4 linked regions of the Lepisosteus oculatus genome follow. The protein of the gene in region 3 purifies or fractionates together with the protein of the main gene of each other region. This does not show direct contact. Links are inferred from orthologs where the notes say so. Each region holds a gene or a part of one and is shown on either strand. Other genes may lie near its edges. The genes, in order: zfyve9a, ndufs1, protein PML and raraa.

What was found.
Region 1: the proteins of protein PML (region 3) and zfyve9a purify together in Homo sapiens (affinity purification with western blotting; 3 studies listed by BioGRID and IntAct, with this or other methods). This does not show direct contact. The link is inferred for Lepisosteus oculatus from reciprocal best matches to the Homo sapiens genes PML and ZFYVE9.
Region 2: the proteins of protein PML (region 3) and ndufs1 purify together in Homo sapiens (affinity purification with mass spectrometry; 3 studies listed by BioGRID and IntAct, counting the BioPlex papers as one, with this or other methods). This does not show direct contact. The link is inferred for Lepisosteus oculatus from reciprocal best matches to the Homo sapiens genes PML and NDUFS1.
Region 4: the proteins of protein PML (region 3) and raraa purify together in Homo sapiens (affinity purification with western blotting; 6 studies listed by BioGRID, with this or other methods). This does not show direct contact. The link is inferred for Lepisosteus oculatus from reciprocal best matches to the Homo sapiens genes PML and RARA.

What each region holds. Positions count from the first base shown.
Region 1 is NC_090704.1:3,610,977-3,618,616, forward strand, and holds the start of zfyve9a (zinc finger FYVE domain-containing protein 9), read right to left. Parts: upstream 3,016-7,640; 5' UTR 2,769-3,015; intron 2,472-2,768; exon of another isoform or gene 2,265-2,471; intron 1,255-2,264; exon of another isoform or gene 1,085-1,254; intron 1-1,084. Other genes in the region: btf3l4 (transcription factor BTF3 homolog 4), read right to left, coding at 5,675-5,721, 6,551-6,610. UniProt on the Homo sapiens protein: Early endosomal protein that functions to recruit SMAD2/SMAD3 to intracellular membranes and to the TGF-beta receptor.
Region 2 is NC_090707.1:32,796,017-32,803,181, reverse strand, and holds the start of ndufs1 (NADH-ubiquinone oxidoreductase 75 kDa subunit, mitochondrial), read left to right. Parts: upstream 1-4,156; 5' UTR 4,157-4,221; intron 4,222-4,792; 5' UTR 4,793-4,796; coding exon 4,797-4,875; intron 4,876-6,573; coding exon 6,574-6,665; intron 6,666-6,898; coding exon 6,899-7,006; intron 7,007-7,165. Other genes in the region: eef1b2 (elongation factor 1-beta), read right to left, coding at 535-660, 1,217-1,283, 1,909-2,032, 2,252-2,374, 3,286-3,365.
Region 3 is NC_090700.1:59,363,983-59,371,911, reverse strand, and holds the start of protein PML, read right to left. Parts: upstream 3,001-7,929; 5' UTR 2,942-3,000; intron 2,223-2,941; exon of another isoform or gene 2,133-2,222; 5' UTR 2,037-2,132; intron 1,036-2,036; 5' UTR 1,032-1,035; coding exon 544-1,031; intron 1-543. Other genes in the region: protein PML-like, read right to left, coding at 4,144-4,709, 5,125-5,228, 6,712-6,830.
Region 4 is NC_090723.1:6,530,940-6,538,744, reverse strand, and holds the start of raraa (retinoic acid receptor alpha-A), read right to left. Parts: upstream 3,005-7,805; 5' UTR 1,713-3,004; coding exon 1,538-1,712; intron 1-1,537. UniProt on the Homo sapiens protein: Receptor for retinoic acid. Retinoic acid receptors bind as heterodimers to their target response elements in response to their ligands, all-trans or 9-cis retinoic acid, and regulate gene expression in various biological processes.

The sequences.
Region 1 (7,640 bases), on a different chromosome or scaffold from region 3:
TTTTATTTCACTTACAAATCACAACATGTCAACTAAAGCTCCAACGCGTTGAAGAGCTGGGAACAAATAGTTCGGGCTTATCTTATTATTAAGCCAATGAAGGCGTTGGATTGTGTCACCGAGAAAGGAAAACAATGGGAGTGGGGGGTCACCCTGACCCACTGGTGTACCAGGAAAGACTCTCAGTCCCGTCACACCCACCTCCTCCCATCATCACGTCCCAGGGGGCATCACTTCAGCAGCAAGTGCTGGTTTACAAAACCGAGGCTACAGAGCGAGCCGGAGTATTTTCTGATCAAGCTCAGGCGGGTATTTATATCCTCCGCTTCATTCCAGTGGAGAAATTAGCAGAAAGCAAAACCTCGTGCTGGATTATGCAAATGCTCCCATTACAATATAAGAAGTTTCAGGATGGCGTCAAAGTGACAGTTATTTAAGAATGGATTAGGGAGCCCTGGATTCTCTCTTTGAAGTACTCCCTCCCCAACACTGAGTATAATCACAGTAATCTTCCGTCTTAATTATGCTTATAAAACAGAAGACTCCAGCATATGTACAGAAACTGCAAAATAAGGAGGGATGTCGAACCCAACCCGATTACTTCAGAATCTGTATGAGGAATTCTTGTGCAGCGAGTACACACTCTTTGTTAAGGACTAGATATGGATGCAAAGCTCCAGACCCTAAAACAGAGCCCAGAAACACGGTTTTCTCCCTCCAGAAATCCGTTGTGGAGAGCAGGGCGGTGAAGCACCAGTTTAACGGCTGACAACCTGATCCTCCGCATGAACGAAAATGACAGCTCACCTGAAGTGGGGTGAATCACTTTTTAAACAGCCGACACACGAAGGCCTGCCACCCCAAACAGTGAAGTGCCGTGAGCGGGACCAAAATAAAATACCTTTTCCATACACCGGTTTTTATGGGCTTACTGACTTTTAGGACGCGCCTTTACAAATCCAGGTCTTAAAACGATGCGAGCGACGCAACGACGTCATACTGAGAGTGTGTGTTGTGTGTGTGTGTGTGTTTTTTTTGTCTTAAAACACAATTTGAAAGAAAATAAACCGTGATAGGCGGGTACCGCAACAGGGCGAAGACTTCTCAAGCGGGTTCCTGCTGCAGCAGGGCAAAGAGCCGGGATACCACCGCCAGGGACAAATGCAGGTAGCCGAGAGTCTTATAAAACGATGAGGAAGAGGAAGAGGATAACATGCCATCGTGCCTTTTCTGCGTGCACCGGGTGGGTGGGTGGGCGCTGAGGCGTCCTCGGCTGACCATGCAGGCCACGAGCGGCTTTACATTCGGCCTGTGACGTGCCGCCCCGCCGCAGCCAATCACGGCGCGGCGTCGGTGCGCACCCCGGCTCGAGACCCCACATCGTTCCGCCGCCCACCCGTCTCCGCGAGCCGCTCAAGACCCCCTCCTTGCAAAGACACCAGCGAGGGAATGATGTGGCTTCATTCCACTTGATAAAATATGCAAATTCCCCATGTACGGAATGACTCAACTCCCCTACTGTGACATAAGATCGGCGTCTTTTCAGGAACAGATTTTCTTTTTCTACGATTGCAGTCATCTAGACATCCAGCGAGCAAATTATTATAAACTAAAAAAAAAATACAATAGTGGGGTATGATCCGAGACGTTGAGCTCCTTTCTGTACACATGACAAAGCTACTCGGTGAGGAGTTTCTCTCCATAGGCTAAACTGGGCGATAGTCAGCTCTTGGGGACATAAATCGGCAATAGCAAATCCGATCTCGAAACACGCAGGACTCCAGGACGCCGACGGATGCCCCAGACCAATTTAACTTTTATCTGAAAGGAAAGGGAAAGTCACTCGCTCTCTCCAAATCACATGCTGTTGGGGTGTTTTCCCGCCCCGTTTCTCGAAAACAACCAAAATAAAATGCCACCCCAAGACGAGGCGAGAGAGCGTGTGCGATTCAGCAGTCTCAGCTCGACACTTATCAATCGCCTGAAAGGGCATGCGTCCACGGCCCAGGCCAGCCGTGAACACGGGTCAGAAAAATGAACAGGACGGGGGTGCTCTCCGCATTGAGGAACAGCGGCGGGGGGTCCCCCCGATCCTGCACCAGTCCGTCCCGCTGTCACTGCGGCTGGGACAGGGCTCTGCCGCGGCCGGGGGGGTAGGATAAAGGCCGGGCTTCAACTTCGTGTAAACAACGGGACCAACCGCGGCTTTACAAAATAAAAACACTCGTGCTGAAGCCACAGCCCTTCGCGAGGAAAGCGCTTACCCTGTGTCCCGCATTAGCCGGAAAGCGCCAAGACCGTAGAGGAGGCGGACGACGAGACCAAACTCTATGATGCACTTTTGGAAATAACAACAGCCTCTGCAGTGACTTTCCACGGCCGGGCTCAGGCATGATCACCGATTTGCAGAACGAAATGCGATCACGCTCCGGGGAGCCGGTTCCTCTTCAGATTATTGTACAACTGGCAGAGCACCGTGGTCTACGCTGCTAAAGAATGTTACACGCTAGGATCTTCGTCTGAGGAATTGCGACCCTTTAGGTTTTATTCACCGGCAGGTTAAAAAAAAAAAAGACAACAGACACCTTTCCAGCCTCCGATTTCACTGCGTTTTCCCGAAGCTTGCAATTTTATTTTGCGTGTAAAATGAGACACACAGCCCGCTTGCAATCTGGGGTGTGAATTAATTAATATCCACACACCCCCCCCTCCTTCAAAAATCATTGCTTCAACATGACACGCAACAAACTCGAACGTTTCTGTCTCACCTGCGGTCCCCTCATCTTCTCAGGATCCTAAAACGCCACGAAACACGTCCCTCCACATCCCGCGTATTTTCGGGGAACTAACGGGTCCGAAAGGCTTCTCCTTGGATATCTATTTCTTTTTTTTTTTCTATATTAACGATCTATAAGTCTCCTCGTTTGAACTCCCGATGTCTCCAGGCTCCAGAACAAGTCGGGTAGTTGAGATAGGGAACAGAAGGACACCTCCCCCAAGTATTATAACGTAGAGAAGGTTAAGGAAACTGCACGGCAGCACGCCATTTTGGCTCCGAGTGCTGCAAATATTTATCGCTCCGCCGGGTTCTCAGTTGGAGCCGGAATGGCATCCGCGTCACACTAGCCCTGTTCGACAATTCTCCCAGCTCAGGCCAATAGAATCTGCGGATAGTGTGAGTCAAGAAAAACACAGCCCCCTCTAGGCCGGAGGAAAGGTAGGCGCAGGCATCTTATGATGCAAAATAAATAACCGTAGCTCTTCTACTTAGGTAGGCAAACAGGCAATCGGCTTGTTATCCCGTCTTCTTTACAATGTTTCTTGAACCGAGATGCACAGCCAGAATAGAGTGTGGTCTGTGCTGTAAAACAAACATCGATAATTATGTCAGAAACGCCAGGACTCTCATGCTGCCCGCGAAGGAGCTGCTAAATAATTATCCCCCCCTCACTTAAGCACGTGAATATTGTGCCTTAATACGAATATACAACTATTTTTTTTTAAATCTTAAAGTCTGCGGCAGACGGCATTTTACACCGAAAGCTCGCGTTGCGGATGAAGGTGCAGAAAAATTAACCTGGTCGCCGGTCGGCTAATCTCTGTGAATGACTGATGCGCACTAAGATTAAAGCGGCGAAAGGTCTGTAAAATTTGAACCGTGGAAGACATCGCCTCCGGCGCCTCATTGGGCGCTGAAAAAGATGCTACAAGATAGCGTTACGACTCGTACAAAAAGTGTCTTTCAAACCGGGTTTCACTTTAAGTCAAGGGCTCGGAGAAGCAATGCGAAATTATTAAAAGACGAGACCGCTTTTACAGATGTCACAGCGATCGTAGATTTCTGAATTCCTAAAAGTTGGGATTAATTCGACTCACCGTTTTGTCGGGATGTCACAGTAATCGGACGGATCCGTGAATTCCTGAATGCCTCACACATTTACCAGTTGGATTCATGAGACTCACCGACCAATAGAAAATGTAAAAACGGAGTTAAATCGTGCTGTGACTCACACCATGATCTGCAGTGCATTCACAACTTCTGAGTGCACGTCTGAAACACTTCATCTTGCGTGCACCTTATCGTGTGACCTGTCACCTTGAACAGACACGGAGAGTACTCCCTGGGCACCGCTTGCCCTGCATAAAAGCTTCATTTTCATTGGAAGCAAGCGTGTGGTACAGGTTTCTAGAAAAGTCGTCACATTTACACACAAAAATCGTAAAATAAACGTGAAAAGCTTGATATTTCTAATACATAAAGCGATTCACCCGCATATAATTACAGGTTATGTTTTAGCCTTTGTATTGGTCAGAAGAAATGCTATTACGCCTTTACCTTAACTTTTTATTGGCCTCCATCTCTGTCCAGGGATGCTAGTGAAACTGCATTAATACGCCACTAGCAACGATGCCGGATCGCTGGCAAAACTTTCTTGCTCAAGCTGTTGAAACCTGTGCGACAGAGTAACCAGTATCCAGCTCTTTTCCCCAAGTACAGATATTAAAAAGAAAAAAAACAGTGCCCCCTGTTGGATATTTTCATTTTGGGGGAAAAAAAAATGACCGCTGGATTATTAATTTGTTTCAGGTTACGGAATATATAGAAAATGTTCATCGAAACTCGCTGCGTTAATTGATGGATTATTTTGACGGCTGGGCATGAAACCTCTTCCCCGCAGGCCAGTTACAGGCACCGCTGCAGTGGGAAGTCGATTTCAACCCGGGAACACAGAAGCATGATTTACAGTCCCCGGCTGAACCCGGATTATTGCCCTTAGGCTCCAGGCTGGCCGAACTATTAAATCGGCTCACTCAAGAGATCCGGTCCAGCTGCCCGAGGTGCGAGGCATAAGAACATGTGAGCAGGTACTAATGAGAGAAGACTACCCAGGCCACTTGGTGCTTAAGCAGTTAACTGATCCAAGGCCACGTGGCTGGGTAGCTTGTTCCATACACCCACTAAATTAGCCTTTGGGCGATAAGAGCATCGTTTGAGCTGCGACACTAGCAGACCGTGACTGGGCTCCAGCCAGCCAGAGTACGACACCCCTCCCATCGATGCCAATTGTCCTGCAATGCTTTATGGGGTTTACAGTGTGTGAAATGACCTTACAAAAGCTGGTTTCTGAGAAGAGAACGGACAGTACTCATGTCCCTTGTGCCCTCATGAACATCCCAGGGTCAAGCCAAGGTGATTCACAAGCACCATTCCCCTTAATAAAACGGCTATCAAATCTGTTTATCCTTTACCAGCCGTATTCATACAAAGTGTTGCGTTGTCTAATGAAACAGCACCATATAGAAAAGGTTAATCAATCTTTTATTGTGGAGTTTGCAAGGAGAAAAAAAAATTAAATAAGACTAGCTTTTCACCTTCACCACTGCATTTGCAGCCGGCATACCAGGCCGCTTTAAAACAAAAAATTAAATGCTGGGAACCCTTTTTTTTCAGGAAATTGTGTCGATGGCGTTTTAGTGCACAAATCGGTCCAGAATGGAAGATCCCGAAGCGGGCAGCCTGTTAAAAATACAAAAAAGTCTTTTCGTCCGTCGCAACGCTGAAATCATAACTCTTGTTTCTAAAGGTTAAAACACTGAAACGAGCCGCTTCCCTCGGACGCCGTCGCCCCTGCCCGCCGCAGGAAGAGCTCCGGCCCCCCCTCTCCGGCCGGCCTCAGTTCGCCTCGTTCTTGGACGCTTCGTCGAAGTTCTCTACGAGGTCTGCAAGGGGAGAAAGAGTCGGCCAGGTGGGGTCAGCTCGAGAAACGCCAGGGCTCACACTTCAGCACAAAAGACACAGCCTTCACGTCCCGCCATCTCCTTGCTCTGGCTCTTCTGGAGGCTGTGGAGCGGGTAGCGACCGCCCCGTGCCTTCTCATCGCAGACATTTCAATCCTGTGACGATTCCTTTTCATGAACGCGCCCCCCCCCCCACCCCACCCCCCCGGTCACGAGTCCGTGAGTAATTCAATAAATTTCACTGCACTGCTCCGGCATCGACCCAAAGACGTAACCAGCACTGTGCCGACTGCCTCAAGCATCTGGTGTTTTTACACAATCTTTAACTCCCTCCTACTACAGCCATCTGGAGTAAAGACTTGATTTAGGGGGAAAAAAAAACAGCCAGCTTCAGAGGAAAGACCAACAGCAGTCTGCTGATGCATAACCACACAGTTCTAGATGCAGGAGAAGACGCAGAAGACAAGTATGCACGTCTCAAGGAGATCTCGGTCCTCTCCTCAAGCTGCAAACACATTTTGTCAGCCATGTCCATCAAGTAAAAAAAGTTACTTGCTTCTCCGGTCATGCATTTCCAACCCAACAACAAACATTCATAGATATAACGAAATTAGAGAATATCATCTAAAGTCGTCACTAAATTGAGCGATTCAAAAGCTACTTATAATTACATAAGTCAATACTTTTATCAGAGTGGTTCAAATTAAATAACCTTTTTTGACATGAAGGTTCACCAGACTCTTAACACAATGTTAAGTTTTAGTTAATTCATCTTGCAGGTCGGATATAATGAGCGTAAACACATCAGTACCTGGGACATCGTCGTCTTCTTCGTCAATATCCTCTGCTTTGGGTGCTTTGTTATCAAGCACTACATGGGACAAAAAAAAAAAGCACGTCAAGTTTACTCAATCTATTCATTTATACAAGGTTTGGATCCCTCAAAAGATATTCTTTTGACATACTGCCAGCTCTTTTCAGAGAAGATGGCAGTGAAAGAGTTCTGCAACTTGAACAGATGAGGAGGCAGGGTGTATGTGAGCAAACATGTTGGGGTGGGTAAAAAATATGCCTTTCCATAGGCATTATGGGTGCACCTCACAAAACACTCCTGCATTCTGGACATTCGAAAGCACTCAAGTCTTCATCCACTGCAGCCAACATTAAAGTATTGTAAAAATTGTAAATAACACCTGACCCATGCGAAATTGTAAAACGCAATTTACAATATACAATAAATACTGTGAGCAAATTGTGTACCAGTGATGGATGCACCTTCACTGTGGCGCAGGGCAGTGATGCGCTACAAGGCCAGTGGCCCAGAGATGGCCGAGTCTCAGGAACATGCCTACACTCCCTCACCCCCCCGCGTGCGTATCGTGGGGCGCACAGCCGAGAGCCGGGACACGGGAGGCGCGCAGCTGGCGATCACAAACCGGGAGGGCACGTAAACAAGATAACTCTTCACTGGCAATTCTAACCCTTCAAAAAAAAAACACAGTTCCCTAAAGAAAACGACACACCCATCCATTCTCTCACCCCTTCATCCAATCTAGGGACGTGGGGGGAGGGCTAGAGAGTGTCGCAGCCAGAATTTTATATTGGGGGGGGGGGGGGGGGGTGACATTTTTAAATGATGTTATTTGCCTTCTAAAATAGGATGTTCCACTAGAAAGGTGTACTACTGCACTTCTGTTTGGCACTGGGGGCGAGGCGGGACTGACGCACAAGCCAGGGCCAAAATCTCACGCTGCTTTCACAACGAGCGGCGTAGGGACGGTCCACACCGACCCCTGCTAACAGAGGCTACGTGTACGCTCTCTGAAAAAACAGCTTAGATGCGTCAATTGTTTCCTACATTTACTTTTTATTTTGTGGGTAAATTGATGACGGTGCAGGAT
Region 2 (7,165 bases), on a different chromosome or scaffold from region 3:
ACTGTTGTCTCCACAGTCAATACCAATTTCTCCAAATACCTACATTTTATTTGCTTTAATATATATATATATGAACCCACTATTTCATTGACAACAAAGCAACATATCTAAAAATCATGCTGATTAAAAACTTGTCAGAACCTTGTCAAAATGACACTTAAACAAGAGAACACCTGAAGTAAACAAAATCAATCCCTTCACTGGACAAAAAACCTGAACATGCAGTAAAATACCAAATATTACTCCAAAGTGTAAAGTATCCTAGAACAAAAAATGTTTCTTTGCTAATCAACATAGAATTAGATGTTCCAGGAATATACTTCAGGAACAGGACGTGGCTGGCTTTAGTCCAGCAGAGAACAGCACTACAATAATTCTCTTTTGCTATGAACTAAAATAAAAACCCAAAATCTGAAGGACAGGGGAAGTCGTGTGCTACATTATACAGAATATCTATACAGCACATGGGAAAGACTTGGGATTTATTCACTAGCGGCCCCTGCTGGGGAAAATTACTGATTCAAGCACACTTACAGGATCCCCAGACAAGACCGTCCATCTGGATGCTTCTGACACACTCCTCCAGTTTGGCCATGTCTGTCTCGTCATCCCACGGCTTCACGTCCAGCAGGATGGAGGACTTGGCGATGAGCGCTGGCTCTGGAGGAAAAAAAAAAAAAGACGAGGGTCACCCGGCACACTAAAGCACATTGCACCGCTGCATCAACTCTACTGTAAATATGAACGCTGGCAACCATCAGATCAATAACAGTCCATCAGGGATTCAGTCGAAAGATGGTGAGTTAGATCATCACTGTTCCAGCGAACAAATCACCGCTCTGAAAAATCCCCCCTTCAAAATAATTTGCGATCCCCTCCAAAGAATCGAGCCCCACAAACAAAACACTTTCATTTTTTTGTGCCCCAACGGGCAGCATCTGAAATAAAACCCAGATCACCTATAAATTCACTACTGACATCACTGCAAATCCATGAGCAATACAAATGAGCAGATCCACCATGACCAGTTTTCGTAATCTACAGGTACTCAAGAACTCCCAAGCCTTTCCAGCTGTTTGAAAGCACACCGGAATCAAGCCCGGAAACGCAATCAAAAGGTGTGTTTGGTGCAATACAGGTCAGGGAGGGATATTAGAGGGTTGCTAGATATAGCCTGCTCCCTGCCACGGGGACAGAATATAGGCGGTAAGCTTACTTTTGGCTTTCTTTGCTTCGTAGGCCGCAAGACGCTCCTCCCTCACCCTCTTGGCCTCTTCACTCTCCTAAGGGGGGGGAGAAATCAAGAAAGTTACCTCCCAAAAAAAAAAGAAAATCGGACAGACCAGGAACAAAGCATCAGATACACGCACAGACAAGCAGGAGACTGCTGGCGGCCGTCAGACATCAGAATGTCCATCACGTCTTCAGCCGAAAGATGGTGAAGAAAAATCACTCTGGCCAGCCACAAAGGGAAAAACACGATCTGGACGAGGAGCTGGCAGAAACCATTCTAGGAGAGCCGCCGCCTTCAGTTAACACTTCAGTTCACGCGCGGCTTGAAATTTGCTTGTAATATGATTATCTATGAACCGGTGCCATTGTGGCATCTCTATATCGAACGATATGCAGCTGCGAAACAAGATTGCGTGAATCGGTTACAAGGGCTCCACGTGGAACTCGGACGTGTTGCAAGGCAGCTCAGTGCTACACATTACAATCAACAGCAGTGCCTGGCTGCACAAGACCGATAACTCATTGTTAAAAGATGAATTGGGGATTGTCCAACCCCTGGACACCTCACTTTCCACATCCACGTATAATCTGTAACAAATCTACAAAATGATTCTTCCCCCCCGTTGCAAAAGTGACTCTCTCAGCTGGCTTTGTGCAGAATCCACACGCACTCACCTCTTCCTCATCAGACCCAAACAGGTCGATATCGTCGTCGTCCTCCTCCTTCGACTCGGTACTGGTGACGTCTTCCACTCCAGCTGGGCCATACTTCCCCAGAGGCTTCTTCACTCCAGGAAGGCTGTGGAGATAAGGGACGGGAGTATGAGATGGGAGACAATAGCGTACACCACCTCCTGCAACCGAAATGAACTGGTTGGGGTCAGAGCTGATAAGCTGTGCATCACAGGCTCAGGCGAAAGATGGTGAAAACGATCATCACTCCACCAGTTAACACGGGCTTCATTTTACAACACAAAGAAGGCTTTTAAATTTCCTCTCTTGCTTTGCCAGCCAGTACCTTGCTTTCTCCTTCTCGTAGGACCTGATGTGATTGTACCAGCGCAGGGCATGGAACAGGTCTGCGGAAGGCGGGCTGGAAAGGGCCTCGAACACAGCGACATCTGCCTGAGACGGAACGTATCTGTTCAGAAAATAAAAGCCCACATTACACGTACGGTACAGACAACGGATTCTTCCTGAAAGGGGCACTTAACATCACTGTTGGACACGGTTATCAACTATATTAATCGATAGACGTAGGAGTCAAAACATTCTCCGAGATTCAGTCTTTCACAACTCTTCAATCTTGCGACACATCTTCCAAAATAGTACGCATGAGGCGAATTTCACATTTGAGGAGAATAAATTCATTTCAGCTGGGTGAATGAGTGATGCGTCCGTTTTCTTTTTTAGCACCCCCGCAAAACTAATCGACCCGAGCAACGAAAGGGTAAAAAAAAAATTGTGCCATTTCAAATGAATCCAAATACATCCCGTCCTGTTATTTTTTTTACTGAAGTTGTGCTAAAAGGAGTTTGCACGGCGCAGACAGATGTCGGGGACACTTTCAATGGGCTCCTAACAAGAATATACTGATAATGCAATGCAGTTAAGCCCGGTAAAAATGCCTATGGCCTACAATGTCAGGATATGATTAACATATGAGAATCGAGTACAAAAATCGTTTTACTTTCATTAGTTTCGTTTTTTTAATATTAAACGTTTAAGATGTATTTTACATATTATCAGCCCATTTTCTCCACAACCGCACTCCCAAGTCCTTAATCACTGAGCAGGCCACAGGCCTTGCCGGGTAAGAGTTACGTGTCAATTTTAACGTTTACGTAACAGAATCGCGAACTACACCCGTTTTTAAATAGGAAAAAACTAACATCGGTGATTTTATTAATCCGGTTTTGTAGTTTTTAAACGATAAAATCCCCTTTCGTTTAATCTGGCGCCAACGTGTCACGGCTAACATGACTCGTGAGGCGTGCTCAAAAAAACTTCCCAACGTGCAAATTAAAAAAAAAACGTATACCGTGTACAGACCCCTCGATATAACTTTTATCAGCCAAAAAGTCGTTGAGGACCTTCAAGCCGGCCGGGGTTTTAAGATCTCCAAAGCCCATTGTATTAGATTTGTTGTGCAGACCTCGTTTCAAAGACCCGGGGGTACGATTTCTTCACACCAGCGGTCCAGCAGGAAGAGAGAAGGAACGAGTTTCTTCTTACGATGACATTTATACCTCTGACGACAACACTGGCTCCACCCTCACCTCCTCGGACAACTAATTTATTAAGAACTACCTATTATATAATATAATGAACGAATCTTATTCGAAGTTTTCAATGTGTTAGGGGAAAATGACAAATTATCCAACTTTGAATTTGCATGACGAGAAAGATCCATCCGTCGTGTCTCAAACACACAGCCTTAAGAAATGCACGTCCGAAGCACTTCGGAGAGACTTTAATTGATGTGTGAAAGTTCTCGCAGAATCCCAGTAAAAGTTTAAACTAGAAGCAATGATTTGACAGAGCTTATCGTGTGGAAACGAAGAGAAATTAAACGCGTCAGGCGGTTCTCAGAGAAGAATTCTACATTTTAATCAATATTCCAAAAAATAAAAAGCAATATTTCTTTATCTTCTCACTTTATACTATTTTGATGGGGGTTTTCTGACTTTACATGAAAAAGAAATTAATGCAATACCTAGGTAAATACGTTCATTCATGTAGGAAGTGACGAAACGAAGGTTAAAGGTGAAAGGTTCTTTAATATCAAAATAAAAATAATAATGACATATGCTAGGCAAAATGGATGTATTTGGTATAGAATAAAATAAAATTAGTCTCTTTGGAAAAAAATAAATCTTTTGCGGTATACGTTATTTGATCATTTTCGTTATTTTCTCCGGAGATTGCCGAAGTCGCCATACTGGTAGAGCGCCGCTGTTCTGGTCTAGAAGGCCAAATAGCGACAAGGTAAGATGACCAAAACAGACCTCTGAAGTTGAAGTGATTAGTGTGTGGGCATGCAGATGCTTACTTTTTAAACTGTCGTCAAGCTACAATTAAAAGACGTTGAAGTTTGCTGTTTTTTAGAGTGAAAAGAAGGGGTTTGTTATCTCTTTCTGTGCCCTTGACTCTTCAGTTATGTAGCTTGCAGTGCCCTGCAACAACCTGAGCTCTGTGGTGTAATGGAAGAATTGAAAATTAATTAACTTGTGAGAGATGAAATTTATTTCTTTGTGAGCTGTTGGTCTGCCTCCTGTTTACCAAGTGTCACTTTGAATGTCGGAGGTTCTTATCATTGTACACGCCAACATTTTGTGTTTTAGTCCTAATGCTGTTCTTTTGCACATAAAGTGAGAGGATGCATTAGGTAGCTTTGGGATTTCATTTTCTAAAGTGTCTTAAATAGATAGAGCCGGACCGTGTTGTGTTAAGACATGGGATTTAGAGTCGTGTGACCTTTTTGCCGTTTCTGGGTCGTCTGTGTGTTCATGAAACCCATTCTTCTAGTGTCAATGTCTGATGTGTGTTTTTCTTCCAGCGACATGTTGCGTTTACCTGCGGTGAGACGTGCACTTTCAGGGGCTGCCCGTTCCCCAGCTTGCATAAGTGGGAAGAACAATGGTAAGCCCAAAAAATATCTATCAGTGATCTCTAAAGCTGAGCACACAGATGTAAACAGAGGGAATGTCCATTAGACAAGTGTTGCCTGGGGTCTTTCTGGCTGTTCATCTCTCTTGGTGGATGTTGCCACTTTGCGGTGCTTTAGCAAGACAGTTCTGCCTGGGCTGTTGCTCTGAGTGGTGTTTAGGAGCACCTGTATATACAGCAGGAGCATTGATGTCTTTGGGTATCCCAGCCCTGTGTGGCAGCTGTAGTGCTGCTTTGATTTTGCTGTACAAATCCGCATTGGTAGAATAAACTACGCCGCTGAGGATCCGTACTTGTGCTTCTCAAACTCTTCCCCCAGAAAGATCGGCGGTGTGTGGTGGAATCGGAAGAGATCGCGTGTCAGCTCTTTCCAGCACTTCAAGCAAATCAACCGTAGCCTTAGTTGAAACAAGCTCATAGGCTGGTTATGAGCTCACGTTCACAAACAAATTATAATTGGGGGGAAAAAAATTAGTGCTGAATCTTTTCCTGTACCACAAGTCTTGTGAGATCTTAAAATCATGATGCGGGCTGAATACAGTGCTGAGAAGTGTTATTTGAAACGCTTTGCAAAATAAGATAGTAGTGGAACTTGTTTTCAGTCCAGACCCTTAAATTCTTTTGCATTTGTTTCCCATTATGTTTACAACCCCCATCCAATAACATGATCCTCTGTGAGGGGCATGAACAGTTTTTACAGGGCATAGCTTGTAATCCCACTCAGCTGGGGGAATATTCACAGCCCATCCCATCCTTCTTGTTAGCTTGGTTTTGCACACCACTGCCTTCATCACTACCTCGACTGGAGATAATCTTGTTTGTTTTGCTCATTTCACCGGTTTCAATAGGGTTAAGAGATTGTTCTTTTAATGGGGCACAGTGGTGCAGTGGCTGGCATTATTGCCTCACAGCGTGGGGGCCCTGGGTTCAATTCTGGACCCAGGGTACTGTCTGTGTGGAGTTTGCATGTTCTCTCATGGTTCTAGTGGGTTTTCTGCAGGTGCTCCGGTTGCTCCCACAGTCCAAAAACATATTGGCAGGTTAATTGGCTTCTGGGAAACCTGGCCCTGGTGTGAGGGTGTGCGTCTGCGTCTGTGTGTGCCCTGTGATGGACTGGGGTGTCGTCCTGGGTGGATCCTGCTTAGTGTCTTTTGGTCGCCTGGCTCTGGCTCCCCCTCAACCGAATTGGATGAAGTGGTTAGAAAATGGATGGATGGAAATGTGTACTTCTCGTTACTTAACAAAAAGTAACAAGGGAGTAACAAATAACAAGGGTGGAGCAGTGACACTGTGGCTAAGGATCTGTGCCCGTGGCCGGCAGAGGAATCCTACTCTGTTGGGCCCCTGAGCAAGGCCCTTAACCCCAGCTTCTCCAGGGACGCCGTATAAATGGCTGACCCTGCGCTCTGACCCCAAGCTTCTGTGTCTGTGTGTCTCATGGAGAGCAAGCTGGGCAATGTGAAAAGACAAATTCCTAACCCAAGAAATTGTATATGGGCAATTAAATGATCTTATCTTAGTAGGAGGAACTTAGTAAAACCTGAATTGGAAGAGGCAGCTGGAAAATGGTGATCCTCAAGCCAGCCTTGCATTTGCATACTGCTGAGAGACTGGTTACAAAAACGAATGAGGAAGAGTTCATTGCGCTGGGTTTCTCGTTTGTGTCTGCAGTCCGCACCACAGCTACAGCAGCCAGTAACCTTGTTGAGATCTTTGTGGATGGAAAGCCCCTCATGGTTGAACCAGGAACTACAGTGCTTCAGGTGAGTTCGTATTCCGAAATGGTTACCATCTTGAAAATCAGTGTAAACTTTGTGAAACTGCAGGGGTATTGTGGTCCATATTTGTATGGACAGGTCAGTCCACTTTTGGAAATGTGGGTAATGAGTTTTATTTATCCTTTAAATGGTGAAGTACATTTTGGGGGAAAACAGATAGGAAGTATTAATAGTTACCTGTCATTTAATTCGGACCCAACTGATTTTTTTTTTTCTAGGCCTGTGAGAAAGTCGGAGTTCAGATTCCACGCTTCTGTTATCACGACCGACTCTCAATTGCTGGAAACTGTAGAATGTGTCTGGTGGAGATTGAGAAAGCACCCAAGGTACGGGTCTTCCAAATTACAAGATTTCGAAAGCAAATGATAAGTGCAAAGGATTTTGAATTTTGATACATGGAGAAAATCACATGGAGTTTTGGTGGTTAAATGTCTGTTGAAAGACCTTTTCATGTGGTTTTGTAAAAGTAGCTGCATATCAAAAGG
Region 3 (7,929 bases):
TATTTTCACACCTCTCAAAAGGCTTTTCCTTGGCATATTAATAGAGAACAGGTCTGATAACACATGGTTCTTTAAAAACAGATATTCAGGCAGTAATATACTGTACTGTAGTTCATTCACACAGATAAGAAAATCAGAAACGTGCCCTCTTACTGAAAATCAAATTAACATGAATTAAAACTGGGATTTTGGTCAAATTACCTTGAATTTGTGGAAAACAAGTTTCAAGTAGGAAATAATTTAACAGTGATGTTAATAAAATAAACCTACAATACAGACAAAACCTGTATCCTGTAAATCTTCAAGTTAAAGGAAACCAGATCACCACTCACAAACTTCTGTTATCCAACCCTTACTCCAAAAGATACAGGGTTCTAGTTTACAGTTACAATTGTTACGCATCAAGTGTAATATCTGACTGATTAGAAACACGATAGTGGACTGCTTCTTATGAACATCTTTAGAACCAAACTCAAGAGGTCTAAAATTGGAACACCAAGGCACAACGCTGTATTCCAGTCCAAAAGTCGGAGCGGATCTAACCTAATCATCTGCTTCTCGTGGCTGGGACAGTAAGGGAGCCTCTTCTTGCGGGTGGCTTCCAGGAAGTCTGGGAAGTCCATCCTCCTCAGGTTCTCCACGCTGTCCACTGGGTGTCCTTCCTTCTCTGTGAAGATCTGATGGGCATCAAAACAGCTCTGGCACAGCATTTTCTCACACTCGAAGCACAGGAAGCTTGCCCCAGCTCTGCACCTAGAGCATGGAAGCACGCTGGCTTGGACAATCTGTCTGTAGGTATCAACCCTGGCCTTCAGCTCCGAGAAGAGCACATTGTTCTTCACCTTGGGGAGTTCTGTGGCTTTCTGGCAGGTAGGGCAGGTGACAGAATCAGACTTCTCAGACCTTGTTAGACACTCCTCGCAAAAGGTGTGAAGACAGGACAACAGCTTGGGAGAGGAGATGTTCCTGGTACAGATTCCACACAGCAGGAACTGTTCTCCATGTAATAGGGTGCCTGCCTGATTAGCCATTGTCCTGTTAAAAGATGGAGAATCCAGAAATAACCCAGTTGCATCAGAGTGTATTAGGGAAGGCACAAGAACACTTTTCCAATTCCGTTCGAAAATGTGTGTTGGATTTGCAAGCAGGAAAAGCAACGTTGTTCCGACATCACAGTTCGACCGATTCAGTTTGTACTTAACATTTTTTTCAGTATCTACACTGTGTTGCTTCCTGATGTTGACTTAACTTTATAGATATAAAAATTGGAACTGCCCATTATATTTGTCATGCATGTGCCCGGTTTGAAACCACCTGTTGTTTAAGACCTGATTTTTTGGCAACGTCTGCTGTATGGCACAGAGAAAGAGGCCCTGCAGTCAGGATTCTCTGACGTGCCCCTTGTTACAGCACTTCATCTGTTTGACATGTGAGCGCTGGACAGGAGAGAAAGATTGCCAGAGCAGTGCAACACTCACTGACATCACACCAGGTCTGAAGGTATCCTATATGCTGCAGAAAACTGTCTTCCTAAAAGCTGAGAAAACCTTGGCCAACTGTAACATCCACCCTACCCATGCAGTGCTGAGTCAAAAGTGCCTATTTCCATTTGTGAATATGGCATACATTCCATATCTATTCAGTGTTGCTAACTGATATTCAATGCTCTTTCAAAATTATTTTGCCACAATTCATGTTGTGGAATCAACACTTTATACCTTATCAATGAGGAATATTTGGTAAAATGATGTGGACAAAACACTCACTTGGCATTGGGTAGATCTCAAATTAAGGACATATCAATGCAAAGTTAATTTTCCTCTATGGAAATTCAAAGGCAGCTCCATCTAAGGTCCGTGAACACCAAATTTCACTTTTAAAGTACTGTTTTGCAGACCTGGTTTTGTTTGTACTACAGAGAACGTTCAAAATTCATATAATACACAGGTTTGCATATGAACAACTTTAGCATAGGCTGCACCAGGTTAACTAGTATAGTATTTAAAATTGGAAAAAGTGTAGAAAAAAATACCTACTGGATAAAATCGGTGGGTTAAGATGTCCACTGTGGTCTCTTCACCTCCATATTCCAGTTGCTGCGGAGTGACATCACCGTAGCAGGCGTCTATAAGCTTTTTCAAAATAAGAGCCAATTCTTTGTATAAAAAATACATACCGGATTTACCTCCCTCTATTACAGAATATCACGGTTCGTATCACTGCTTAGCAGTACGACATACCACTTTTACAATGAAAGAAAAACGAGAACAAAGAAAAATAACCGTTAATCTCTACACAACAAGACCAAAATCTAACCCAGAGGTACAGTATGGACAAAAACAAGCAAGATCCTGAACTGCTTTTTATACTAATCTTGCCTTTGTGACCACTCAAGTCTCACACTTCGGCTGTATTTAAAATTTAATTGAAGAGTACAGTATATTTGACAGTTTTATTATTTTACAGATATCAAAACGATATAAATTTATAAGAATGGTAAATGAATCAATAATTATCGATCGTTCAGATTATGCTTGTTAAAAACCCCGATTGCCTTCAGCCACATTACTGCCGGGTGCTACCTTGTGTTTGTTACAAAGCTTTTATGCGTTTTTCTGTGCATTAATAGTATATCAGCTGTATTGACCGTTTCAGGATTTATGGTGGTGGTGAAAGACCACACCCTGGAAAGGGTTAAAAGCTGCGCAGGAAAACGAAAACGGAGGTGGCGAAGCAGAAATGGAAATGAACAGCCTGTACCGCTAACCTCCCTTTCACTTCTAGTCTGACGAAAGGGTACTGTGCATGAAATTAAATGCAATCGGACGATGAGATGTGCCAAACATACTGTAAGCCATATATAAACCTGATTGCAGCTGTGATTAAAAGAACAATACTTCAGAATGTATTGTGTTGTATGAATTATTGTTTTCAAACATACAGTACGCACGGATCCTTATTCTCCAAACAAGTCTCATTTTCCAGCGGAGAAACGGGGTTCCTTCCTCGATGTCTATAATTTTGCCTGTTAACACCCCCTACTGGCCATTATTATGAAACGATTTGCTTAGCTTAGCAGATCTAAAGCAAAATTTTGAAATCTAATTTGAAATATTTAAGATTAAGATCACTTTATTAGCCATATACAATTTCTTGCATTAGGAATTTGCCTTTTTGCATAACCCAGCTTGCTCTCCTTGAGACACAGCACACAGAAGGAGAGAGAGGCTTGGACTCAGAGCGCAGGGTCAGCCATTTATACAGCGCCCCTGGAGCAATGGGGGTTAAGGGCCTTGCTCAGGGGCCCAACGGAGTAGGATTCCTCTGTCGGCTGCGGGATTTGAACCAGCAACCTTCCAGCCACAGGCGCAGATCCTGAGCCACAGAGCCTCCGCTCCGCTTGTATTTTATAGGTGTTTAACATAGAAGAATATGTGAATGGCCACAATGCAATTTTTTTTTACATGTAAAATTATATTTCCTTTGTCTCGTCATAATATTAAACACACCCAATTAAAACAACTAATAAAAACCAAAAGATTATGACACTTTATTAAATCCTTAGAGATCACGTGGACCTGAAAAAATACATTACTTTATTTATATTTAATAAAACAATAAAATGAAAGATAACAGATGCTTTTCCTAAACAGGCAGTGTCTTTTATAAATTTTCTTTCTGCCTTGATCATAATTATTAGAACTTGGCACATTTGATTCTGAAGTCCAAGAAATCACACTGCTGTGGAAATAAAACAGCCTCTAGCAAAACGCCCATTCTGTTAACTTAAACATTGGTATGTAGAGAAGCAAAAGGTCTTTCCTTCTCAGTGGTTTTAATTTAATAAACGCAAATGTTAATTTTATTTGCCTCAAGATTCCTGTGAACCAAGTCTCTGAGGCTCAACTGGCGCTGAAGCCAGTTCGTGTTTCAGAGACAGCTCTGCTGGGTTAAGGCTGCTTTTGAAGTTCCAGGAAGTCAGTGATATTGCCAATTGTGGCTCCAAAGCAGCCCTTCCACAGCTCTTATTTCAGGGGCTCCAGTAGCTTCTGGAGCCTCTTAGAGGGACTCTGCAGGTGAGACTTCTAGAGTAATTCCACATGCAGCCAGTTTTCTTGCAGCGTGCTTGGAGATCACTTTTCCTTAGATGAGTGGCCACCGAGAGTTCCGAGTTCCCACCTGTGAGAGAGTGAAGGTGTGCCTGACCACCTGCTCTGACCTGGGCGCCCAGGCGCGGAAGAGCCGCTGCAGAGCCTTGACGTCTTCCAGAGCATTGTGCGCTTGGTAGGAGGTCCCGAGGCAGGCCCTCACCAGGTGCTCCTGGCGATAGCTCCGGATGGAGCTGTGCCTGAACAGCTCTCGGGCCAGGAGGAGGGTGTCCACGAAGCCGGAGGTGGCCTGCTGGAAGTCCTCTCTCAGGTGGAACTCATCCAGCACCTTGAGCAGTACAGGACAGTCAAACCTCCTGATGTTGTGCCCTGCCAGAAAAGGGCGGTTCAGCATGCGGAGGAAGGCCACGAAGGATATCAAAGCCTCCCGGTGAGTGATGGTTGGAAGGGCCTGGCTGTGGAGCCACAGCTGTCGCCTCCTGACAGTGAACCCGGTGACAACTGAGGCCCCTCTAAGGATTGGTCGCCGAGGAACCATGTAGACATTAAACGTGTGGTCTCCACTTACAGCGGACAACTGTACGATATCACACCTTGGACCTGTTTGCAAAGGCACAATTGATGTGTTGTTACTGCTCCGTTCTCCAAGACTGCAGTCAAAAAGTAGTGTCACAATCTGCAATCAGTCCTTTACCCCCCACTCATGGAAAACAATGTCAGAGAGAAAATAAAGCTCAAACTTGCTGAAAATGCACAGAAGAATCATTGTAAATAAATCGTATTGTTAGTCTACTCCCCTCTTCCCCATACATGACAAAAGGGGATTATAAACAACTAGTAATAACTATATGCTGTACATCAACATCCTTGTCAGTTTGTAAACTGGCAGTACGACACATACTGACCTCAGCTAAAACATCTGCAACAGGAATACTTTTCCACAGTGAGGGGTTTACAATAGATTTAAACTTAATTATCTGAAGAAAGATACTATATAAATGTAATATATAATTACCAAGTCCAGTGGTTTCGAGATCGAAGAAAACAAGACTGCGGTGAAGATTACATGAGGCAGAAGAGGCCACTGCGAATGCATTACATTCCATTGGTCTTTTAATTCTGTAAAAGAATTAAAATGATTCAGATTTTTCACCATTATACTGTACGTATGGACAGCAACACACAAAGTGTTGAAATATATATTAAAAACATTGAAGATACCTAATCTGTAAATTCTAGAACAGAAGATGAGGCATTAGGTTTTATACTGAAATTGTGCTGACCGCTGTTTCACTTGACAATAACATTGTTCCAAGCAAGAAACAATTACATATATTATAATTAAATTAGATATAAAATGTCTCCATTTACAAAAGGGTATGTTCCACAAAGTGTTTATGTGTACTTTGGCCTGAGAAATGTAAAAAATAGAAGAACACAGCTGATCCACAGCTGAATTATGAAATACCCTATTTAAAAACCCTAGAAGAACTGTATTTACTAATGAAAGTACAAAGAAAATGTGTGTTACAATAGAAACATCTTGAGACAAACTGCAGCTTTCTTGATGTAACCAAAAGACTAAAGTGGAAGGAGAAAATCAGTTCCAGACTTGTAAACTGTAATTCCAGCCTTTTCCCCCGAGAGGCTGTCCTTGTGTTCTCCTTTCAGAATGGTCCTGAGCAGATGGACTGAGCCTTGACATACACCTGACATACAGTACCTTCAAACTGCATAACCATCTGCCTCCGAATCCACCATCATCATAATGCTGTGTACACTTTACATTTGTTACGAAAAAAGACATTTCTAAATAACAATCACTTCATCTTGACATGATACTTCCATTTGCAAAAAATTTTCTTTGACAATATCCGATCAACACAATCAATTTAAGGTAGATTTCCTTATATACTTTCTTTCTCATTGTAAATTCAATCTCAACAGGTTCTCAACCTCAAAGTTAGATTTAATAATTTTCGGATGCTGATTTCCGACAGCCTCTCCCCCCAGCAAATCATTTCGCTTCCACCACTCATGAAAACACATTTACAGAAGCTTGGTGATGCTGCTGGGGATCAATCAGTCTGTTCTGAGCCACAGCTTCACATATTTCAGCAGTCTGCTGTTTTGCTTCCATTTGAGCTGTGGCATTCCCCTCTCATTCTGTACAATAAAGACCACACACTATGCTTTAGACCCTAGCTTCTCCTTTAATCCATGTAAGACGATAACCCTATAAACATAAAACTGGAAGCAGTGTTGTCACCTTGTGGCCTAATCTCAGAAGCTAAGGAAGAGCAGGGCATAGTCAGTACTGGTGTGGCGTTGGTGGACCAGTAGGAGGCACTCTTCTCACTGGATCTGAATTTACTAGCTGACACCTAGTCCAGTGATCAGAGTTGCTGTGCATTAGGAGGAATTGTCCTTTGGGGGAGATATTCGCTCGAGGCCCTGACTACCTGGTCAATAAATATCCCATGCTACTTCTGGAAACAGCAGGGGTCTTATCCCTGGGGTATGGTCTAAATTTCATTCTTGGATTTAAAAACGTGGCCTCCCTAAGATTCCCTCTTAATGAAGCAGTTTCTTACTTCTTCACCTGTGTAGTAGGGCTGCAGGCACACAATGGCAGCCGTGCATCACCCAGGTGAGTGCTCTGTAAAGCGCCGTGGGACTCTCTGGGATGAGAAGCACTATACAGTATACAAGTAAATGCATTATCTATTTTAACTGGAAAAGGTTTACACACTTAAGACCATGCAAAAAGCATACCGCTCATGTCACAATAAGTAAGGAATTCACAAATACATTCCACAAAACTATTCCATTTGGAGACATCTGCACTAAGCAGGAACAGATAATATACCATTTATATTATAAGTTCAGGTGGGTAGCTGCTTCAGCATGCGTAGGCTGCAAAGGAACAAGTAACAGGTTTATTCCCTGCTGAAAAAAAGAAGAAAGAAAACACAACGTTTCGGTCGTGGAGAGGAAGGCTGATGAAGGCTCCACGGCCGAAACGTTGTGTTTTCTTTCTTCTTTTTTTCAGCAGGGAATAAATTTATATTATTATAAAATATAAATTTTATTTATAAAATACTGATATAAGAATAATTATATATAGACTATATACTATTTCTATGGCAAATCTATCATGTATCCACTTATCGCATTGACTGTATGAACTGTAAGTCAACCTGGCTAGAAAAACTGCTAAATAAGTTTTAAAACAGCTGTAATTTGAATACATTCCTTTACATGTTGGTCTAGTGGACCATGGAAAATGTGTATTAATATGTGCGATGAAATCAAATAATCTAAGACATTATATTTTTCTCTTTCTATGTATATCTCATTTAATAAAAATGTACACCAGACAAACATATGAATCATAATTACTTAAATTATTATTTAAAAAAAAACAAATGAGGTATTTTACATTTTGATGCAATGACAAAAAAAAACTCAAGCTAAATTTATAATCCAGTTTAAATTTACAATGTGTTGAAGATCAAATAATATCCATGACTGATTCCAGATATCATTTTAAAGTGCAAATATTTTTAAGATTCATTTTGTTGATTTGTGAAAGATCTGTTATTCTGAAATCATACCGTTTAACATTTTTCATGTAACTTTTTAATTCAATTGATGAAAGAAAGCATTTAAAGAAAATCATACTAAATTACAAATAATTTTAGAACACATTATTGTTCCAAAGTCCTAAATTAAACAAATTCCAGAGTCCTTGAGAGAGGACTAAGTACACAAAAGGTTCTCAACATGCAATAACGGGAAGGATTATCTTCAGTCACGA
Region 4 (7,805 bases), on a different chromosome or scaffold from region 3:
AACAGGCTCCCGATGTCGCCTTCCCCGGAGGTGCAGCACGTCGCGCAGCCTTAGTCCGGCGATTTCTACTGTCCCTTCTTCCGCTTCTTATAGGGCTTATATGCACAAATGATCACCAGAATTCAGTTATTAGAAAAGTCTAATGAAAATATCAGATAAAATAGCGGGCGACCCCGAAACACGATCCAACGAATGTCCCTCCTGACTCTGGACACGACGGTTTGACGACACGGACCGATTATGGGTCTTTGAGTGCAAAAACGACAACGATGATGACCTTTTCTTCTTGTCTTCTGTCGAGTACAAACTTCGTATTCGACAGCAGCGTTTAGATATAACGCTTTTTTTTACAAAAAAAAATCGTGAACGATCGGTTTAGAAATGATGACATCCCCGTCGCCCTGTCTACCTTCGTTAAACCACGAAAGGCGCGTCGTTCAATACGCTAGTTTGGCACAAACTGCGATGACTAACGATTTAGGGAGGAAAAATTCTTTCCTGCGTCCGGAAGAAACAAGTTTCGGAAAGGGACTAGAAACAGAAAATCTGTTTCCAAAAAAAAACTCGCTTACCAACAGCTGCTCGGCCCATAATTGTTCTTACTTGGCATTCAACCGGTTTTAAAAAGCCCTGCACTTAAATTCAAATATACATTTACTGTGCCGCGCAATTCTAAAGATTTTCGCCTTCTTAAGCACAGCAAGTACCCACAAAAACAGTCAATCTGTGGAAATGTAAAAGCAGCGCGTCCTGTATTATCCACAAAAACCTCCGTTACAATGCAATTTAACAAAGGTGCCTCCGCAAATGAGCTCAGTGTCCTATGCATTGAAACACAGCATTGCAAGCACGTTTCTGTTCGCTCTTTTGGAAATGTTACTGCACAGTTACTGTTACAACTCGCTACATGTACTGTAGGCCGGGAAAAAAAAGACAAAACCCGTAGTCGCGTATGTAGAGCGCCGGGCTGGCCGGGGGCTACAGCGGTAAAGCCCTCTGTAATGGTGATTACTACAGCCGTCCAAACGGTTTGTGCTTGAAGCACAACCATCGAGAGGGTATAGATGCAATAAGCTATTGACCAAATAAAACATGTTTAGGTGAAAACACACAGAGGAGGTGTAGCAAACGCGCACGCAAGGGTCTCCACGTTCACACGGCGAGGAAAGCCGGCAGACGCCGAGGTGGTTTAACAGAAGCCAACACGCTAGTAAGGAGCTCGTTCGGAAAGGACAACATGAGACATTGCAAGCGAAACACAAACACCGAGAAGGTCACTCAAGCAGCGCCTTAAATCACAGCACCTGCGCTCGCTCTCTCTCTCACACACAATCGGGGCCGCGCTAATTTAAACTCGTTGACGAGCCTGCCGTAATTACACGAAGCGGCCGGGATACAGATCGATCCAGACCAGTGAAATTGCACCGTAGGCGGAAGCCCACAGAACGCGAGTTGGGCTACACGTAACACGCGATCGCTCAGACACATGTCCCCCGAAGTGAAACATTGTAACCCAGGAGCAGAAATGTCCACCTACAGTGATTGGAGCCGGTCCAGTGCTGGTTTCTGATGGAGCTGCCGTAAGGGTGGTGCGATCCGGCCACGATCGTCTTTTCCTGGATTAAACATCCTCGGTTCTGGTTGTAGTAATCCACCATTAGGAACGGGTTCGGACTGGGATTTAACCCCACCACGTCCACACTCTCATACATGATGCGTGTTGGCGACTCCAAAAAAAATAAAAATAAAAAAAAACCCGATTGAAAGTAATATCCCAACAACAACAACAAAATCTTCTCTCGGTGGCAGGAGCAACAAGAACTACTCGCACAACTTCTTCTGATTAGCTGTCAAACAACATCTTAGAGGTAGTGACTGTGGGAGATCTCCCCCCCCACCCCACCCAGCCTTGCTGGGGGAAAAAAAAAAGTTTGGCTGTACTGATGATTTGATCTTTTAGAGAGAAAAAAAAACAAACAGCAAAGTTCCGTCCCAGCAAGAAGACCAATCACTGTGGTTGTGGATGAAGTAACGGGCAGTGATTTCAGTGTGGGGTCTGGGTGCAGCAGCTAACTAAGTGGGTCTCCCCGCATGGTCCGAGAACAACTTCATTTGCGGTTTTTGTGCGTGGAAGCGCTGGCTGGAGAGGCGGCGATTCGCATGCTGGCGCGTCTCCCCCTCCGTGTGCTCCCGAGCGGGCCCCGGGCTGCGCTCCCTGCTCCAGACGGGTCCCGCGGTGCCAACTTTTCTCCCGCACCCCGCCACAAAACTGTTTATTTAAAAAAAAAAACTCCACAAAACTGGAGAAGGTAGGCAAGAAGGGAGGCAAAAAAAAAAACTGAAGTTTTTTCTTTAAAAAAAAAATACCGCGACACCCACACGCCAAAAAAACAGCCCAGCTACGCCGGTACAAATCCCGCACGGAACAGGCTGGCGTCGTCAGCCGCTCTCCCCGTACAGGCGCGACATCTTCACGGGCAAGGAGGAGCGCGTCCTCACCTCCACAGCGCAAACGGACCGGACCGGACCACCCTCGTCCTCCTGCCTCGGTGGCTACAGTCTCCTCTTGCCCTGCGACGCTTGCGGTCGACACCGACTGGGGGCAGGCAGGCACGGAGGGAGGGAGGGCGATGGAGTGGAGGAGGGGGGCACTCTTTTTTCAATTTCCTTCCACCACATCGGGGGGGGGGGGAGACCCTCCCCTCCCCAAACAAAACAAAATAAAATAATTTTAAATCCAGCCGAGCGCCTCGGATGTGTCGAGGCGAGAGGCGCGGAAGCTGTGTTTCGCTGGCGTCGCAGATTTCGCGTTTTTAATCCCCCCCGTTTCGCGTGACTCGATCCGTCTCCCCCCCCCCGACTCCGTGTTTATTGCTGTCGTGCGGGGATCTCTCTCCTCTCTCACGCCAAGTCTGTTCCCAGGCAGGGTACCCGCTTGCCCTGCGCCGCAGATTGTGACGGCAGCGAGCAACTGCGACCGGACCCCACCTACCTCCTCTCTCCCTCCCTCTCTCTCCGCTCTCTCTCTCCCTCCAGAGCGCCTCCCCGACTTAACCCTTTCCGGACTCCCGCAGTCACACAGCCCCAGGACCCGGGCCAAACCGCCCGCTCTCTCGGTACAAGCCGCAAACCCAGCGGCTCGGTGGTGATGGTGGAGGGGTGTGTGTGTGTGGTTGAGGGAGGGGAAGAGGATTAACACTTGTCGGTTCGAAATCAAAATAGGGGAGGAGGAGGAGGAGGAGGAGGTGGTGGTGGTCGTCTGAAACAATTTTAAAAAGCAAACTAAAACCGCGCCGCCGCAGTTTTAGGGACATAATAAACACGCACACACACCCCTCCACCCCAACAGGAATGCCTCTCTCGTACAGCACTAAGTGACGCCTCCTCTTCCACCCACGAGCCCAGCTCCCACGCCGTGACGCGGAAGACCCCCTTTTCCCATCGTCCCCTTTTTCTCGCAGGTTTCCCGGTCTCCCCCCGGACTAATTTGCCTAATGTTATGCGGGTGAACTTTTCCTGAACCCGCGGAAGCCGGCCGCCTCACCTCCGGGTGACCCACACGCCGACTCCGGCGCGCTCCTCCGCGTTCCTGTCGCTGACGTCACTCGAGGTTCCCCCACCTGGCCGCTCGTGCGCATTGGCACGCGGAGTCCCCGAAAAGTCCCACCGACTCGCAGGTGGGAGGGAGCTGGTCTGAGAACCGCACAGCACCCAGGCCGACGTTGACCAAAACGCGCACAGTTAAATCTTTCATCTCGCATCGCGCTTCCACACAGCGGAGGCCGCGCACGATGAGCTTAAGAGCGACGGCCTTTCCCCCAGACTTTGAAAAAGTTTGCAAGTTTTCTGTATTTGCAAAACGCCACTTAAAAATAAATAAATAAATAAATAAATAAATAAATAAATAAATGGTTCAGATTGAGAGTCTTTGTTCATGACAGAAAAGAAGTCACTTGTTGAAAGCATGGTCACACACACAGCCTGGCAGATCTAATACTCAAGAATATCATTAGACTGCAATTCCGTGAGGACTAATAGGATCTAGATAGATAATGCCGCACAGTGCCGTGACAGTGAATACGACAGTCACGAGCAATGCAATGGACTTGTTTAGTGCCCTGCAAATTCAGACCAGGTCAGAACAAATGGCCTGTGTCCCTCACAGAGAGCTCTACGGATGGGGATGCACTAGTGTATTATTTATGGTACATTTTGAGGCTGTAATCAGTGTTTTTTCCCAGGGCAAAGTGGACTGATCGGACAGCAGTCGGTCAGTCAGAGGGAACGAGGCCATCTGGAGTGGAAGCAGCCATGTTCTGTGCAGAGGCCCGGGCAGCACGGGGGAAATCCCAGGAAAGCTCCCAGCGGAGCCGAGCCTCGGGCCCGGAGCCTGCCCAGCCTGCCGGGCAGTTCGGAGCTCCGACTGGAGGGCATTCCCCAGGACTCTGCAGGGGAAGGCCTGCTGGGGCCTTGGCAGCAAACTGTGACACTAATTTAACACCAGGGCTTAAACTGTTTACTTTTACTGATAAGGACAGCAGGCGGGGGGGAGGGGAGGCTGAGCTCTGTGCTCTGTGCCATTGGAGTCCATTTCAGAGGAGATTCCAGAGAAGGGACGCCAGGACCAGCGGGACCGGGCGAAGGAAGACTGCAGTGGACATGGCCAGCCCATGCAGGAACGGCTCCCTTCAGATCCCTCCGCTGCAGGGCTACGCTGACTGTGCACAAATGCGCTGGCACAGGACCCATCTGCCTTTCCTGCTTGCCAGTTAACTGCCTGATATCTGTCATTAATGCCCCGTTATGTGCATAAGGGCCTGCTGCAACAGCACCAAAAGGTCAGGAATGACAGCCTCCCCGTTTGAAGGCTGTCTGCGATTGTGAGTAACCTCTGCATGCGGTATGAACTTGGGAAATTAACTACAACATGACTAATTATTCCAGGTCTGGAGGAGAGTCAAAAGAAATGGGGGAGGCCTGCGTTTCCAGCACCAGGATGTTGTACTTGAGGACTTACGTCAGCCGCTGAAGAATGAGTCCCTGGAAGGACCCCAGGCGACACTGACATTCTGTACTGGGAGCCTGGTTTTGCTGGTACAGCCTTCAAATGCTCTGTCATTAAAAGACCTCAGCGCTGCCATATTGGTGAGCCAGTAATTACTTCGAGAGCCACATAATTGAGTGCCACAGCGAAGACACTGAAAAGGAGCTTGCCGGAGAGCCAGAGGTTAAGGGCATGTGGCCTGTGGGCCTGGCAGGAGCCAGCAGCTGCCCAGGAATGCCAGACCTGTGATGGGTGCCAGACTGCCCTCCGTGGGGTTGAGCGAAAGCAAGCCTGCCTGCGCACACACAGTGAGTGGCGGTGGGGCAGGACCCTGGGTCTTTGGGAGGTGAGCAGGAATAATGAAAAGCAGATAATGAGGGTTAGGTTCAGACCAGACTGGGGCTGGGAATTCAGGGAGGTTTATGAGAGGGCAGTGCGGAGGACATCCTGCCTGGATCTTTAGGGTGCGAAAGTATTTTTATTGCCCCCCCCTCCAATCAGAGGTGTTAGGGGGGCAATAAAGATTAGACACTGCCACCAATTTACCCCCAGCCCCCCCGCCAGTGAAGACAGCTGTGCCACAACACCCTATTGTTACAGCGATGCCACCCACTGCCGAGCTGTGAGCCTCTCCAAGATCTTCCGCATCACCTGTTTGCCAAACAGAGACTGAAAGTTTAATGGTGGCTTTCATGGCAAGGGGAGATGGGAAGGTCCTGGCGCAAGTGTCTCCAGCCAGTGTGCAGTCGGCAAGCATGCAAATTACCAAGCAACGGAGCTATCCTGCGTTACATCTTGCACGAGGTGAATCTGGAGTGGCCCCACCACCCTGTCACCTTCTCTGCACCGGCGTAATACTCCCTTCTTCCTGGCGACCTGGCCCCTGTGCGAAATGCCTGCACTCACGCCCTCCTCTGGCCTCTCAGAGCTCACTCGTTTGTTGCCTTGCAAGCTTGTCCGCCGTCATCAGTCCCAGAAGAGCTCACGTCCCGTCGGTGCCCCGCCCCCACGGGAGAGCAGCGACAACGGGGAGAGAGTCATTCCTCCCACATCAGTCAGCCATCACTCCTCAAGGGGGCGTCTGAACGGAGCCCAGGGCTGAAGCCTGGGCAGCAGTCGGGGGGAAAGGTGCGAGCAGCACGCCAGGGCAGAGGAACTCTGGGACACAGATTCCTGAGCTCTTTTTAGATCTTAATAAGCAAAACCAACATGGCTGCCATGGCTGTGGTTCTTAGAAGCCGTAGAACTTGGGGAGGTTCCTGTGCGTCACACTACACAGCGCAGCTCTCCGTATTCAGACTATCTTAGGATTGGTCTCGTCTCTGTGGCTAAGGATCTGTGCCTACAAGGTTGCCGGTTCATATCCCGCGGCCGGCAGAGGAATCCTACTCCGTTGGGCTCCTGAGCAAGGCCCTTCACCCCAGCTGCTCCAGAGGTGCTGTACAATGGCTGACCCTGCGCTCTGACCCCAAGCTTCTCCCTGTCTGTGTGTCTGTCCCCATGGAGAAAAGCTGGGGTCTGCGAAAAGATTAATTCCTAATGCAAGAAATTGTATAGGGCTAATAAAGTGATGTTGTTGTTGTTGAAGCGCTCGCACTGTGCTCCCGTGTTCAGTATAATAGTAACAATTCTATGACTGGAGCCTAGAAGCTGTGCTTTACGTGTTGAATTAGATCGCCAGCCAGACTTTCCGTTTAATTTTCTGGTTTCCTTACAGCCCGACAGCTGGTCGCCTCCGACATCCAGAGCGAGATAAGACCCCGGCGAAGCGGGCAACTGCTGAATCTTGCGCAAGATCTAATGAGATCAGTGCAGGGCTGCAGGGAACCGAACAGCAAGGGGGCAGCCAGCCAGGGAGCGGCCCTTATCCACGCTCGAGAGACTCTGCAGCAGGCAGGAGAGTAAACACCTTCAGCCGACTCTGTGCTCATTCCATCTGCGGTGAGCTGAAGCGTTCCAAGCAGTGCCGGATCTTATTCCCGTGATGCCACAGTAAAAAAATATATATATATATCTGCCTGCCCGCATTTCTGCTCAGCAGAATTCCAAGAATCCAGCTGGCACCTCCGCCTTCCTCATTCCACAGCGCCGAGCGACACAGCGCTCTTAAAGACACAGAGTGTGCTCACCCACGTCCACGGCTCTCCCCACTTCCCTTCCCAGCAGACGTGCGCCGATACCCCTGCTGCTGTCGATGCCGCGCGGCTGGATCTGTCTAGGTTGCCATCTTGGCATGCAAACGAGCTAAACCAACCAGCCAACAGCCTTTGCAAAGGCCACCCGGTACACTTGTAGGTGCACGGTAGAGGCTGCAATGGAGCTGAGGGCGTAGTGTGGCGCACAGGATCTTCCCCAGCTCACCTCTCTGTGTTCAGACTGTCTTAGGTTTGGTCTTGTGTCTGCGGCTTTTGTCATTCACCCTGCCCAAAGCGCTCGCACTGTGCTCCTGTGTTCAGTATAATAAGAAGAATAATAATTTTATTATCAGCACCGCTCTCTATCGATTCGGAATGACCCGCTCTTGGTCAATCCCTTGTAGGGGCACTGGGGAGATGAAGACAACTTGCAGGCTGCTGCAGGGATGTGCTCTGTCATGTCAGGCCGCAATGCCAAGATGCAAGAATACAGCGCTTCACTCACATAACAGTGCAGGCGCACCTGGGGATAGGCAAACAGCAGGGGTCTCTGCTGTGCACAAAGTAAAAAAAAAACCGAACCCCACAAGTCCCCAAGGTGCTTGGGCAATCGGGCTACAGCCTGG